Linked DNA regions of Xenopus tropicalis. The protein of the gene in region 3 interacts with the protein of the main gene of each other region in a biochemical or structural test. Links are inferred from orthologs where the notes say so. Each region holds a gene or a part of one and is shown on either strand. Other genes may lie near its edges. The genes, in order: axin1, rnf146 and tnks.

The links.
Region 1: the proteins of tnks (region 3) and axin1 form a complex in vitro, tested with the Homo sapiens proteins (2 studies listed by BioGRID). The link is inferred for Xenopus tropicalis from reciprocal best matches to the Homo sapiens genes TNKS and AXIN1.
Region 2: the proteins of tnks (region 3) and rnf146 form a complex in vitro, tested with the Homo sapiens proteins (3 studies listed by BioGRID and IntAct, with this or other methods). The link is inferred for Xenopus tropicalis from reciprocal best matches to the Homo sapiens genes TNKS and RNF146.

The regions. Positions count from the first base shown.
Region 1 is NC_030685.2:15,101,656-15,106,274, forward strand, and holds the start of axin1 (axin-1), read right to left. Parts: upstream 3,133-4,619; 5' UTR 2,842-3,132; intron 1-2,841. UniProt on the Homo sapiens protein: Component of the beta-catenin destruction complex required for regulating CTNNB1 levels through phosphorylation and ubiquitination, and modulating Wnt-signaling.
Region 2 is NC_030681.2:67,899,740-67,904,399, reverse strand, and holds the start of rnf146 (E3 ubiquitin-protein ligase rnf146), read right to left. Parts: upstream 2,997-4,660; 5' UTR 2,921-2,996; intron 1,250-2,920; 5' UTR 1,249-1,249; coding exon 298-1,248; 3' UTR 1-297. UniProt on the Homo sapiens protein: E3 ubiquitin-protein ligase that specifically binds poly-ADP-ribosylated (PARsylated) proteins and mediates their ubiquitination and subsequent degradation. May regulate many important biological processes, such as cell survival and DNA damage response.
Region 3 is NC_030677.2:97,830,432-97,834,521, forward strand, and holds part of tnks (poly [ADP-ribose] polymerase tankyrase-1), read right to left. Parts: intron 3,947-4,090; coding exon 3,826-3,946; intron 3,114-3,825; coding exon 3,016-3,113; intron 2,269-3,015; coding exon 2,194-2,268; intron 1,672-2,193; coding exon 1,566-1,671; intron 1,016-1,565; coding exon 829-1,015; intron 1-828.

The DNA.
Region 1 (4,619 bases), on a different chromosome or scaffold from region 3:
TGAATGAACCTGCTATTGCCAGGGCCATTAAAGCTATTGGTACTTTGAACCGTGCCGCAGAGATAAACAGCATAAAGCAATAACCAGGGACACTAAAATACTATATTACCCATCCCAAGACATGCAACTGCTCACGTTCTACTCCTCAGCACCACTAGGCGACATCACCTTCTGCCCGGCAATCCCTTTTACTGTTTCCAGTGGGGGCTATAATAGACTAACTCGCCACACACACAGTGTAAAAATCCTCTTTCTAGCCAGCTACATGTGTCTGCATTCCTTTTCTCTGGTTCCGACTCCTGAAACAAGTTAGTTCTGCTCTCGATAGTTTCTGCTATACTGATTCAGAAGTCAGAGCCAGCAGTGCAGAGAATACAAACACCCAGGCAGCGTTTTTCCATACCAATTACATTTACACATAACTTCAAAACCAATGACATTTATGAATGTATATACTGCTTACAGTTACATGTCAGTTACAACGAAAATATATTTTAAATATCTATCTCTCCTTGATAACTATAAGACTTCTGTATAATGTGTCAAAAATACAAATATTATATAACAAAGAAGTTGCTGGTCCTGAGAGTTCTAATTCCAATTTGATATATACTATACATATATATTTTCTTTTTTACACACATCACATTACACATATATTCACTTTTTTTTTTTTTATAAATAGACATTTCCCCCCCAACAATGAGGATAGATTTCTTTGGTCAGACCAAAAGCAGATATAATAAGTCAGGAGTGGGCACACAGCCTTGCAGGATTATTTGCAAATGATCAGTATATATCAGTAATATACCAAGCACTGGGTGCCGATGGATCAGGTAGGCAGGTAGGAACACAAGAAACAGGGTCCCCCACACCCCCAAGGCGTCTGGCTACGGCATTCAGATTCTGACATGCACAGAATGCGGAGAACTTCTGCCCCCAATATATATTGGGCACCATGGAAAGTGCTAATGCATGAACTGACAATACCCCACACTCCCACGGTACCTTAGCATTTCTTACATAAAACTGCAGTTGTAACGAAAACTATAAAGCCAATCATACCCCCAACCCACACATAAACTGGCTTAGTCCCTACAGCAGCAATGAGCAACCTGTGGCCCTGCGGGTATTGCCACAGCAGCCCCCCTGTTTCCTTAAGGGTGAGAAGCCCAAGGTAGGTGATGGAACACAGTGAGCAATGGTCAATAAACACCTTGCTGAACTACAATTCCCACCCATGGTGAAACTGCCGGACAACCCACAGAATACAATTCCCACCATGATCGATTTAATGGTCAAGACACTCAGAGCTACTAGTAGCAGCAACTAAAATAGACAATGCTGATAATTTACTGATAATTGTCTCTATGTGTGTTTTAGAAGACAATTCTCAGTATTGTCTATGGCAGTGGCAGCTACCTAAGGGTGAAGACACATGGAGCTACTTAGTAGCAGCTTCTTGTCATGGCTGCAAAACACCAGAAAACACCCTGACAATACTAAGAATTGCCTCTGCTAAAACACACGCAGAGACAATTATCAGTAAATGATCAGCATTGTTTATTTTTGTAGCCATGACAAGTAGCTGCTACTAGTAGCTCCGTGTGTCTTCACCCTAATACTGCACTGCTGCTGATTCTCCAGCGTTTGTAGCCACAGTGCATTTGCTAGTGAAACAACTCCCATCACCCCGCTATGCAGAAGTCAGAGCCAGCAGTGCAGAGAATACAAACATCCAGGCAGCGTTTTTCCATACCAATTACATTTACACATAACTTCAAAACCACTGTCTATGGCAGTGGCAGCTACTAGTAGTTCTGTGTCTTCACCCTAAGGGTGAAGACACATGGAGCTACTTAGTAGCAGCTTCTTGTCATGGCTGCAAAACACCAGAAAATACCCTGACAATACTGAGAATTGCCTCTGTTAAAACACACGTAGAGACAATTATCAGTAAATGATCAGCATTGTCTATTTTTGTAGCCGTGACAAGTAGCTGCTACTAGTAGCTCCGTGTGTCTTTACCCTTAGGGTGAAGACACACTGAGCTACTAGTAGCAGCTACTTTTTCATGGCTACTAAACTCTAGAAAATCCCCTGCCATAGACAATACAGAGAATTGCCTCTGCTAAAACACACGTAGAGACAATTATCAGTAAATGATCAGCATTGTCTATAATAGTAGCCGTGACAAGTAGCTGCTACTAGTAGCTCCGTGTGTCTTCACCCTAATACCGCACTGCTGTGGATTCTCCATCGTTTGCAGCCACAGTGCATTTGCCAGTGAAACAACTCCCATCACCCCACTAACAGCTTATCACGTAGATAAGTTGTCTCCCCCCCATTAATGATGGGATCCCTGCAAAATAGTCCCCCCCCCCCAGATATAGTAAGGATGTAGTAAAGCCCCAGTAAAGCTGACAGATATCCCCCATACAGCCCTGTGGATGATGCTGAATTAAAACTCCCAGTAACCCCTCTGAGCCCAGAGATGTAGTCATTCAGTGTCTGGTGATGTTCATCCCTGGGACTACATTTCCCAGCATGCTCTAGCAGAAAAGCAAAGCATTCAGAGCCCCAATGTTGGGAATAAGGGCAGCAGAGCAACCTGTGATGGACTCTATTACCACAGCCACGTACAGGGCCACAGGGTTCCCATGCATGCCTATAGACGGGCCAGGGTACGGGGCTTCCCAGTAAGATGCGGCCCAGCGGTACTGGCAAAGCCGGGGCCTGGCCTACAAACTGGATCCGTCCGCCTCTCCTGGAAAGTTTCCTCCCCCCGTTCCTCTCACACACACACAGACAGACAGAGAGCCGTGTGGCCTTGCTCCTCACCCAGGCAGCCCTGAGCCGGCTCTTGTGCCCAGCCGTTCCGGGCCCTCTCCCTCCGCTCCGCAGCCACCCATCAAGCTTCCAGCTGGAGCCGCCACCGCGCAGGGATACTCGGGAAACAGGAGAGCGCAGAGCGCCGGGATGCGGCCATGCCCCGGACAGTGCGATACACAGTGAGTGAGTGTGTGAGAGAAACACCGTGCACGGCACCCGCGGGAGTGCGCATTGGCGTGCCCGCGCCTCACATGCGCGGCCCCGCAGCTTCTCGCGATTTTTCCCGCCCCGCTGGTACGCGCAGTCATGTGACTCCAAGCAGCTCTCCGCTTTTTACCTCAGGGATGCGCTCCCCGGCTCTAATATGGGGTGTCTGTGAGGTGGGAATAGTATATGTAGGGCAGCCATGGGCCCTAGGGCCCCAGTGTGGGAGGGTTCTCTGAGGAGGGATGGTAAGAGTTGGTGAGGAAGCTTTTGGGCTGTAGCTCCCACAAGAACTACTCTGGTTATGGGGTGAATTGTGGTCCTGTAGTGTATGTCCTAGTATTCCAAAGCTAGCCAATGGCTGCCAGGGGGGGGCTGGGAGTTGTGGTTTTTAATGTAGGTAATGTCTCCCAGCCTTCTATTGGTGGGAATATTGAGGCAACTAAAGTAACAATCACGCTTTGGGGCCCGTCTATCGAAGTCCGAATTCTGGACTTCAATAGAAAAAAATTCGTATTAAATCCGATAATTTATGATGTGCGTTAAAAACGCGAAAAATTTGTATCGTGGTCATACGTAAATATTGTGGTACGGTCCGAATGATCGTAAATGGCGCGAAAACCTTTCTAACTTTGAAACCTTCTGTGCATGATTTTGGAAGCCTCCCATAGGGCTTAATGGCACTCTGCAGCTCCAACCCGGCCCAAGGAAAGTCTCCCATAGGGCTCAATGGCACTCTGCAGCTCCAACCCGGCCCAAGGAAAGTCTCCCATAGGGCTCAATGGCACTCTGCAGCTCCAACCCGGCCCAAGGAAAGTCTCCCATAGGACTCAATGGCACTCTGCAGCTCCAACCCGGCCCAAGGAAAGAGTGCCATTGAGCCCTATGGGAGACTTTCCTTGGGCCGGGTTGGAGCTGCAGAGTGCCATTGAGCCCTATGGGAGACTTTCCTTGGGCCGGGTTGGAGCTGCAGAGTGCCATTGAGCCCTATGGGAGACTTTCCTTGGGCCGGGTTGGAGCTGCAGAGTGCCATTGAGCCCTATGGGAGACTTTCCTTGGGCCGGGTTGGAGCTGCAGAGTGCCATTGAGCCCTATGGGAGACTTTCCTTGGGCCGGGTTGGAGCTGCAGAGTGCCATTGAGCCCTATGGGAGGCTTTCCTTGGGCCGGGTTGGAGCTGCAGAGTGCCATTGAGCCCTATGGGAGACTGTCCTTGGGCCAGGTTGGAGCTGCAGAGTGCCATTGAGCCCTATGGGAGACTTTCCTTGGGCCAGGTTGGAGCTGCAGAGTGCCATTGAGCCCTATGGGAGACTTTCCTTGGGTCGGGTTGGAGCTGCAGAGTGCCATTGAGCCCTATGGGAGGCTTTCCTTGGGCCAGGTTGGAGCTGCAGAGTGCCATTGAGCCCTATGGGTGACTTTCCTTGGGCGGGGTTGGAGCTGCAGAGTGCCATTGAGCCTTATGGGAGACTTTCCTTGGCCGGGTTGGAGCTGCAGAGTGCCATTGAGCCCTATGGGAGGCTTTCCTTGGGCCGGGTTGGAGCTGCAGAGTGCCATTGAGCCCTATGGGAGACTTTCCTTGGGTCGG
Region 2 (4,660 bases), on a different chromosome or scaffold from region 3:
CATTCCCATTTAGCAAACAGCTATTAGGCCACAGCCTCTTTTTCCCCATTAATTATAATTATATATAAACAGGTCTTTCGGCCAAAGAGCAAGATACTTCATGTTAATGGTAAAAATAATTTTTTTAAACAAATATTCTAAGTCTGAGCTCAAGTCTAAAACATACTAAGGAAATAACAAGGATGACATTGCTCTTCTTTCTCTGGCTGACTGCTTTAGACTTCTGTGACTGTGCACTGTCCATCAGGTCTTTTAGACCTTACACTGGTACTTTGTGCCTATGCAGGTGGGGTACAATCAGGGATTACCAAATGGGAGCCTATTACTTTGTGGCACAAGAAGTGAATTATGTTGTAATGTAGGACTTCCATGGTCATTACTGTCACTTGGCTCTGATTCTTCCAGCAAAGCACTGGGGGCTGGCATTCTAGCGTTAATTAGAGGCTGTCCTTCTTCACCTTCACCTATATTATTCCTGCCTATCACAGGATCGCCAATCTGAAGCTGAGCAAAGGAGTTCTCCAATGAAGAAGTAACATCAGAATGTGAAAGGGCATGACTTGCAGTTGTACTGAGGGATGTGTGCAGCCTTGTTGGTAACACAGGTGTAGGTTGACTTGAAGAAGCTCCAAGTGCTGCCATGTTGTCCGCACCATCTGCTGAGCTCTCTCGCGCTAGATTTACATTTGCTGCATCACATTCAAGCCTTAGCCCAGCAACTCCTTTTTTTGGTATATCTACAATATCTCTCTTGATTTTTCTACGCCGTCCATGCTCATTACGCCTGTATTGAACCATGTTCTCCAAGTCTGCTACATAGAGGAAGCCAGCTATCAACATCTCTGTGCTCTTTTTGCCTTTTGTGAAGGCATCTTCAAGCTCTCTGCTTGTCCGCTCATCATACTGCCACCAACCATTTCTTCCCTCATAATACCATGCATATTCTCCATTTCCCCTACTTGCAGATTTCAGTTCCTCAGGTGACAGTAATGTAGGCTTATCAAGAAAGTCCTCAGGAATCTCTTGTCTGCACAAAGCACAACGCCTTCCAAGCCAAGAAGCCCCCTTCACACACAAGTAGCAGAATATGTGTTTACAAGGTAGACTAACTGGATGCACACAGGTCTGCAGGCATATAGCACATTCAGGAACAGACAATGAAGGAGCACTGTTGGGACAAGGCTCAACCAGTTTCTTATTAGTGGGCAGCATGTTAGCAGAGTGGCTAACTTCACCACAACCAGCCATCCTGTTGGTAAAAAAATTAAAAGGTTTTATGAGGTTGATTAGAGAAACTGAAAACCAGTCTATGATAAACAATTGAATTGTTCCAGTTTAAAAACGGATGAACAGAAGAAAAACTGGCAGCATAGGTGTTATTATTGTTTACAGATCTTTATTTCAGTTCCATTTCTCAGGTGCTATATCCAGATGAGAAATAGAACCTCGATTTTATGTTTTCCTGGAATTGATACCATTTTTTCCATGTTAAACCATTTGCGCCACTTTGACAGTCCCTTGGAAGACATAAAGTTAGAGTTCTATTGTTATTGAACAGGAGAAAAAGTTCAGCAGGGCTTTTCAGAAGCCAGCCAGCCACCCACTGGAAATTTATATACTTAGGATATTTTATGGAATCTCTCTCAGAAACAGCTGCAATACACCCCAAAGTAACTGCTGTGCCCTGAAACTTAAATTCCTTAAACTAGCAGTAGATCATAGTAGATGAATGGGAACTCAAAAAGCATCTTTTCAAGTTAGCCTTTTTGGGGGAGCTTTATTAAAGTATTTTAATTGAATGAAAAAAAAAAATGTGATTTGTGTGTGTGTTTGGTAGAGGTGAGGGGGGTTAAAGGAATACTGTCATGAGAAAACATGTTTTTTTCAAAACGCATCAGTTAACGGGGTTTCTCCAGCAGAATCCTGCATTGAAATCACTTTTTCAAAAAAAGATTTTTTTATATTTAATTTTGAAATTTCACATGGTTCTATCCATATTCTTCATTTCCCAGGGTGCTACAGCAATGTGACCTGTGCTCTGATAAACTTCAGTCACACTTTACTGCTGAGCTGCAAGCTGGAGTGATATCACCCCCCCCCCCAGCAGCCGATCAGCAGAACAATGGGAAGGCAGCAAGATAGCAGCTGCCAGTATATATCAGAATAGCACTCAATAGTAAGAAATCTACGTCCGGCTTGGGACTCCTCCAGTTACATGGGAGTAGGTTATCTGAAAGCAGTTCTAATGTGTAGCACTGGGTCTTTCTGAAAGCTCAGAATCAGGCACAATGCACTAAGATGGCTGCCTATACACCAATATTACAACTAAAAAAAGATACATTTGTTGGTTCAAGAATACAATTTTAAATGGTGAATTGAATTATATTTTATGTAAACAGTGTAATTTGGTAATAAAAAGTACAACATAAAATTCATGACAGTATCCCTTTAACTAGATGCAGATGAGACATGATTATTTGGAACACAATTTAATACAGTATAGAATGTTTCTTCTTGACATGAAGCCCATGTTCAATTTTCCGTATTGCAAAAAGTCAAGGTTTAATACAGTATATACTCTATAAAGTAATAAAAAGAAGAGAGCATTTGAGCTGTATAAAGCAGCTGTGGTTTCGCCCCTCTCTTTAGCACTATATGGGGAAAATGATACGTTCACTTGTTTAATTGAAATATTTAAGAAGCTCAGTGTCTTAAGATCGCTCTAAAGGCTCACCCCTTTTGGAAAGCGCTGTACATACAATAAAACATGCATTTTTTATGAGGCCTTAGGTATTTGTGCCAGACACCCTACAGTGAAGAAATGCAAGCTTCTGAGAAATCACAATACACTCGGCCTAAATTCAATGGGAATGAGAACTTCGAATAAATAATTTAGAAGTAAAAGCGCAACCTGACATACCGCCCAACAGTCCCGCTTCTCGCGGGACGCTCTCGATATTTTTAACACAGCCCGCAGAACCAGATTGCCGTTTAATCGTCCAACAACGCCATTAATATCCAGCTCCTTGGCTCCTGCCGGAAAGCTAATCCCGACGTCAAAATTGTCATCTCGCGAGACTGTGGCGTCACTACCACACGTATATAAGCGCAGTGACGCGGCACGTAGAGGGGTGACAACTTACTTCCTTGTTTCACAATTATAAGGCGCTAGTAATACAAGGAAGCGTGTTTGCAAACGTTTGCTTCACAGCTAGTAGTTTTCGCAGTTATAGAAAGAAAGAGTCATTTCGTGGTGGTAGCCTACTATGCATGCTGCCTATATTTAGGCACAACTAAGTATTTGTTTTTTCTTATTAGAACTTACACTTGTGTCAGTGAACAAACCCTATTTGCTGGGTTGACAAATGATTTTATTCTTTTCACGGCTTCTGTTTTATTTTTTAGGTGGATATTGTGTTGCAAAGTCTTTGTTTTACCTAAAACGGTTTTTTTTGGCTCTGCTTTAATGAACCTGGTAACAAAGAAAAATAATTTCTTATCAAACATGCTGCCATCAGTGCCTCTTCAATTTGACTAGCAATGAAAGGGTCTTTTTTTTTTTTTTTTTTTTAAACTAGGGCCAGGTGAAGGTCCCAATGTTTTGTTTTTTTTTTGTTTAGTTTTTTTTTAAGTAAGGGCAACAATTACAATTTAGGGACAAAACTGGTTATTTAGGAGAAGACATTGGGTGAAATAGAGCAGCAGTAATCTTTACGTTTTAGGCTCATTTGTTCACGGTGGTGTCAGTTTTCCAGGTTTTATTTTTTCGTAAACTAATGCAAGACTTTTCACAAGTTTTTAGGCTTTTTTTTTTTTTTTACATAAGAGGATCCTGTGGCCATTTTTTGAATTGCCAACAGTAATCTTTAGTTTATATTTTTACAATTTAGTGACAACAGTGACATTCAGAAGACTTAAAATATCCTAAAGTAATCTTTTACTCTGGTCCTAACTCCAAAGTGCACAGGTTCTACAGTGGCTTGCAAAAGTATTCGGCCCCCTTGAACATTTCCACATTTTGTCACATTACAGCCACAAACATGAATCAGTTTTATTGGAATTCCACGTGAAAGACCAATACAAAGTGGTGTACACGTGAGAAGTGGAACGAAAATCATACATGATTCCAAACATTTTTTACAAATAAATAAGTGCAAAGTGGGGTGTGCGTAATTATTCAGCCCCCTTTGGTCTGAGTGCAGTCAGTTGCCCATAGACATTGCCTGATGAGTGCTAATGACTAAATAGAGTGCACCTGTGTGTAATCTAATGTCAGTACAAATACAGCTGCTCTGTGACGGCCTCAGAGGTTGTCTAAAAGAATATTGGGAGCAACAACACCATAAAGTCCAAAGAACACACCAGACAGGTCAGGGATAAAGTTATTGAGAAATTTAAAGCAGGCTTAGGCTACAAAAAGATTTCCAAAGCCTTGAACATCCCACGGAGCACTGTTCAAACGATCATTCAGAAATGGAAGGAGTATGGCACAACTGTAAACCTACCAAGACAAGGCTGTCCACCTAAACTCACAGGCCGAACAAGGAGAGCGCTGATCAGAAATGCAGCCAAGAGGCCCATGGTGACTCTGGACGAGCTGCAGAGATCTACAGCTCAGGTGGGGGAATCTGTCCATAGGACAACTATTAGTCGTGCACTG
Region 3 (4,090 bases):
TGACACTGAAATAAAGTACTAATAAATTCAGCTCCTGACATTAAGGGTTTGCTTGCTCAGCAAAGGGACAGCTTGTACCAGATGCACATTTCCTATTTTACAATATTAGAAAGCATTATTCCACCTACTTGTATTCTAAGGGGTATTTTTTTCTCCACATGAAAACTCTATAGTTTATTTATTTATTTTAGTTGAATTCTGCAAAAATCATATAATTTGTTATCAAAACAGATTAATGTGTCATTGTGCACTGAGCAGTTAAATTCAATTTTTTCCCATGGGTAGTAGGGCAATTGCACAAGGCACATTTCATCTCTCTGTAAATTTCAGTGCCACGGACTACAAAAATCCCTAGTTTCCTTCCCACCAACAATATGGATCACCAGAGGGAAAACATGTGTCACTTCTGCTTTCCAGCTGGCAGTTACCATGCACAGATATGTCGAGCTACTTCGCAATTCATATGTTTTCCCACCAGCGATTTACATCACTGCCAGTAGTAAGGAAACTAGGGAGTTTTTGTCACCCACAATAGTGCAGATTTACCACAAGAAACAAAGTGTCCCATATTGCGTAGCCCTCAGAGTTCCAAACTAACTACTATGGGCACTAAATATGGGTACATCATCTATTTCAGTCTTTTCCACAGTGCTACAAATTGGTATTAAGAAGGAAAATAATAATAGCACTAAGTAATGTTACTGCTCATTAAAAAAAAATAATAATAATGAGGATTGTTCAGTAAAACCTAAATATTGTTTTATTTCTAGTATAGCACTTGGTAAAGATACCATTACAGTCAATTTGATATTAGAAGAAAGTAAATACCTGTGGCAAATGTAACATGACCTGTCTTTGTGAGTTGGGCACCCGGTACCTCCACCTATGCCATAGACATACTGGTTGCTTTTAGAAGAGTTTTCTGCAAAGTATATGCCAGCTCCAAACATACCCCCAATGTACGCATGCCGCTCATCAAAGCCTTTGTGAATAATTGCATTAATAAAGGGCGAGCCTAAAAAAGGGATTTAAAAAGAGGAATGACTTGAAAATGCAAATTAGACACAATATCTCCAATATCTTCTGATCAGAAATACATCCTGCACAGGGTCTTTTTTTTTTGAGCAAGAAAAAAAAAACTGCAATTTTTGCAACTTCAGTGCCTACTTGTCAAGCTGTGTTAAATGATTTGTGCCATCACAAAAAGGGCTGTATTTCCAATACAAGTCATTTAACAAAAGCAATCGCAATCAAAGAAATCATTTATTTTATTTTACGTGTCCTCAACGACGTATTTGTCATCAGTTCAGACTTCCATAGACTTCCAAGTCAAGGAAAAGTTCAGATGGAACGTATTCGGAAAATGACTTTGAAAATGAAAGTGTTTTTTTTTTATTTATGCAACATTTTTCAAATGGCTTCGATTTTTTGCACTGGACTGTTTCACATTTAAAATCAAAATGCTGGGTGTTAATTAATGATTCCACAATTCAGATGGTGATGCATTATACTCCTCTCCACATTTTTTTTCTCTATAGGAATTTCTGTAAGACAAAGCAACATACCATGAAACAGCATCCGCTCGTTGTGATGGTTGTGGTTTTCCTCCGAGACCTCTTTTTGCCTGTGGCAGAACCTCTCCCTGAGTTTCTTATTCACCACCTTCTGAATCTGTTGTAGGGGGGGGGGGGAGGATTAAAAAGTATAAAATAAAAAACAGGACCATTTAAACTGATGCATTAAACCAAATTTATTTTGTAGCATTAATATTCCACTATTTAAAACATTTAATATTTCAAGCACATATCTATCAAATATATAAACAGACTTAATAAAGTTAGTTGCCTTGCAAAATTGGGGGCTTCTGGGTTTAAAATAAAAAAAAAAAAAATAATAATGTCTCACTAGGGTTTCGCCATGGGTTTTCCCTAAGGTACTGAGGTTCCATCCCACACAATCCAAATAATTGTAACCTGCCCTGCGGTAAGGAGTGATGTGAATGATGACCAATCTCTAAAGATCTTATTAATCTGTCAGCGCTGTATAAAGGTACTAATAAATAATAATCTTATAAGCTTCAGGTAAAATACAACAGAAGGTGTGCAGAGAATATGCTCCTTAAGGAAATCAATAAAAAAGCATGGAGAGTAATATATTAAGATAACAGTGTACAAAGACATAATTTAGCCTTACCCTAATGACATTATATCGATTGAAAACTCCTCCAGCATTGCCACCATCCCTGTGTTCCCGAATAGAGTTTTGCATCTTTAAATTAATAGGAACAGAACAAAACAAAAGTCAAGTAAATGTTATTTTCTAGAGAGAACAATCATTCACTTAAGATTATTGATACCTAAACTTTACCAATTCTTTTCAACAAATAAAGATTAAATGATTAAAAGTATGCATACCTTAAAAACCATCTCAAGGGTGAACATGGCACTTCCTATGGTTATGATCTAAATGGGGTTCAACCTGTCTTTGCTCTTTAATGTATACAAAAACTATAGAATGTGTTTTGGGAATTAACCCTTTTGTTAAATGGCATAGTAGTAGTAGTTGTACATGGTCCAGTTTTAATACATTAACAATGTTTGAAAGTCAGAGACCAAACAAATCCTTTTTGTGCTAAAGACAAGAAAAATGGTGTTTTGCAATTGTATCTATTAAATGGGTGTACACAGATTTCACCTGTTGATTAGTGTGTTTCTTTTTGGAATGTAAAAACACACTTAAAAGGAGATGTTCCCCTTTAAACATAAATTTAGTATGTTACAGATGAACCCATTATTATTCCATTTATTTATTAAGGACTATTTAAGCCAAAATTACATTAATGTTTTCACAAAGACTGGTAGTGTCCTGTACACATTAGGATATACAACTTAATGCAAACTCATTAAAAGTAACCAGTAAGATTCTTTCCTAAGAAGTATAGTACCCAAGCCTACAACTGGCAACAAATAAAACACAGAGGTTTATTTTTACTGATAATAGAAGGTTATCTTTTACCTCTTCCTCCACTGACTGGTATTCTTTATCATCTGATGCAAGATCCAAGAGAACAGTTCCTTGGCTTACACAGTGAAATGTCAAATAAGGGTTAGTCCCTGAAACACATAAAGGGTCAGGTTAACAAAACCAGAGATGAAACGTTATAGCCTGTGTGATCATTTGAGCAGTATCTATAGCAGCTTATATTTATTTACTTTTTTCAGTGGCTTTAACATTATTTGTACTGCAATAGCTAGTAAAAGCAGTGATTGTATTTCTCTTGCGATTATCTGCACTGGTAGTTCTAACTTAAAATTATGTAACTGAAGCCAGATGATTAACATACCCGGTCCTGACTGGAAAAGAGCTGACTTCTGCTACATTGTTTAAAAAGTCAGAAATTGCAGTGCAGAAAAGGGACAGAAAAATGCAATCTCGGTTACATTTATAAAAAAAAACGTGAAACGGAACATTTTAAAGAAATGTATCATTAATGTTGCTAAGTATCATGTGTTCTTTCACTACGCAAAAATGGAAGGTTGTACCAGTCAGCAAACATGTCCAGCCACGGTTCAAAAGTATGGCAATTCAATTGATTACAACCAAAAATTGCCAACTTTACCCTATAATGACAACACCAAGAATTAGTGGAAGCGATTGGCAACATTTTTTCTGATACCCCACAGCGTTGATGCTTTGAGTATAAGAAATTTTTCCTAATGCTATAAACTGGCTTTATGCCTGCACGGATGAAATGTTCCCATTAAATGCACTCATCCAATAAACCACCTGCCTTGAGAATAAATTTGTGAACACTCTTTAAATTACCTTGTTGCCCTCCTAAGAGTCTTTCAACTCCTTTGATTAGTTTGTGACGATGGCCATAAGCGTTAATCCCAATCTCCTTCAACTCTTCATGACCCATGTCAGCCAACACGTCTAAAGTGATCTAAAAAATAAGGCAATAACAAATTACAGTTGGCAACAGATTTCATGAAAACACCAACAAATCAATGTATATTCCTTTAAGTATATACTTCTTTTAAAGCAGTGCTGTCCAACTTTGTGGTACTGAGGGCTGGAATTTTTCTGG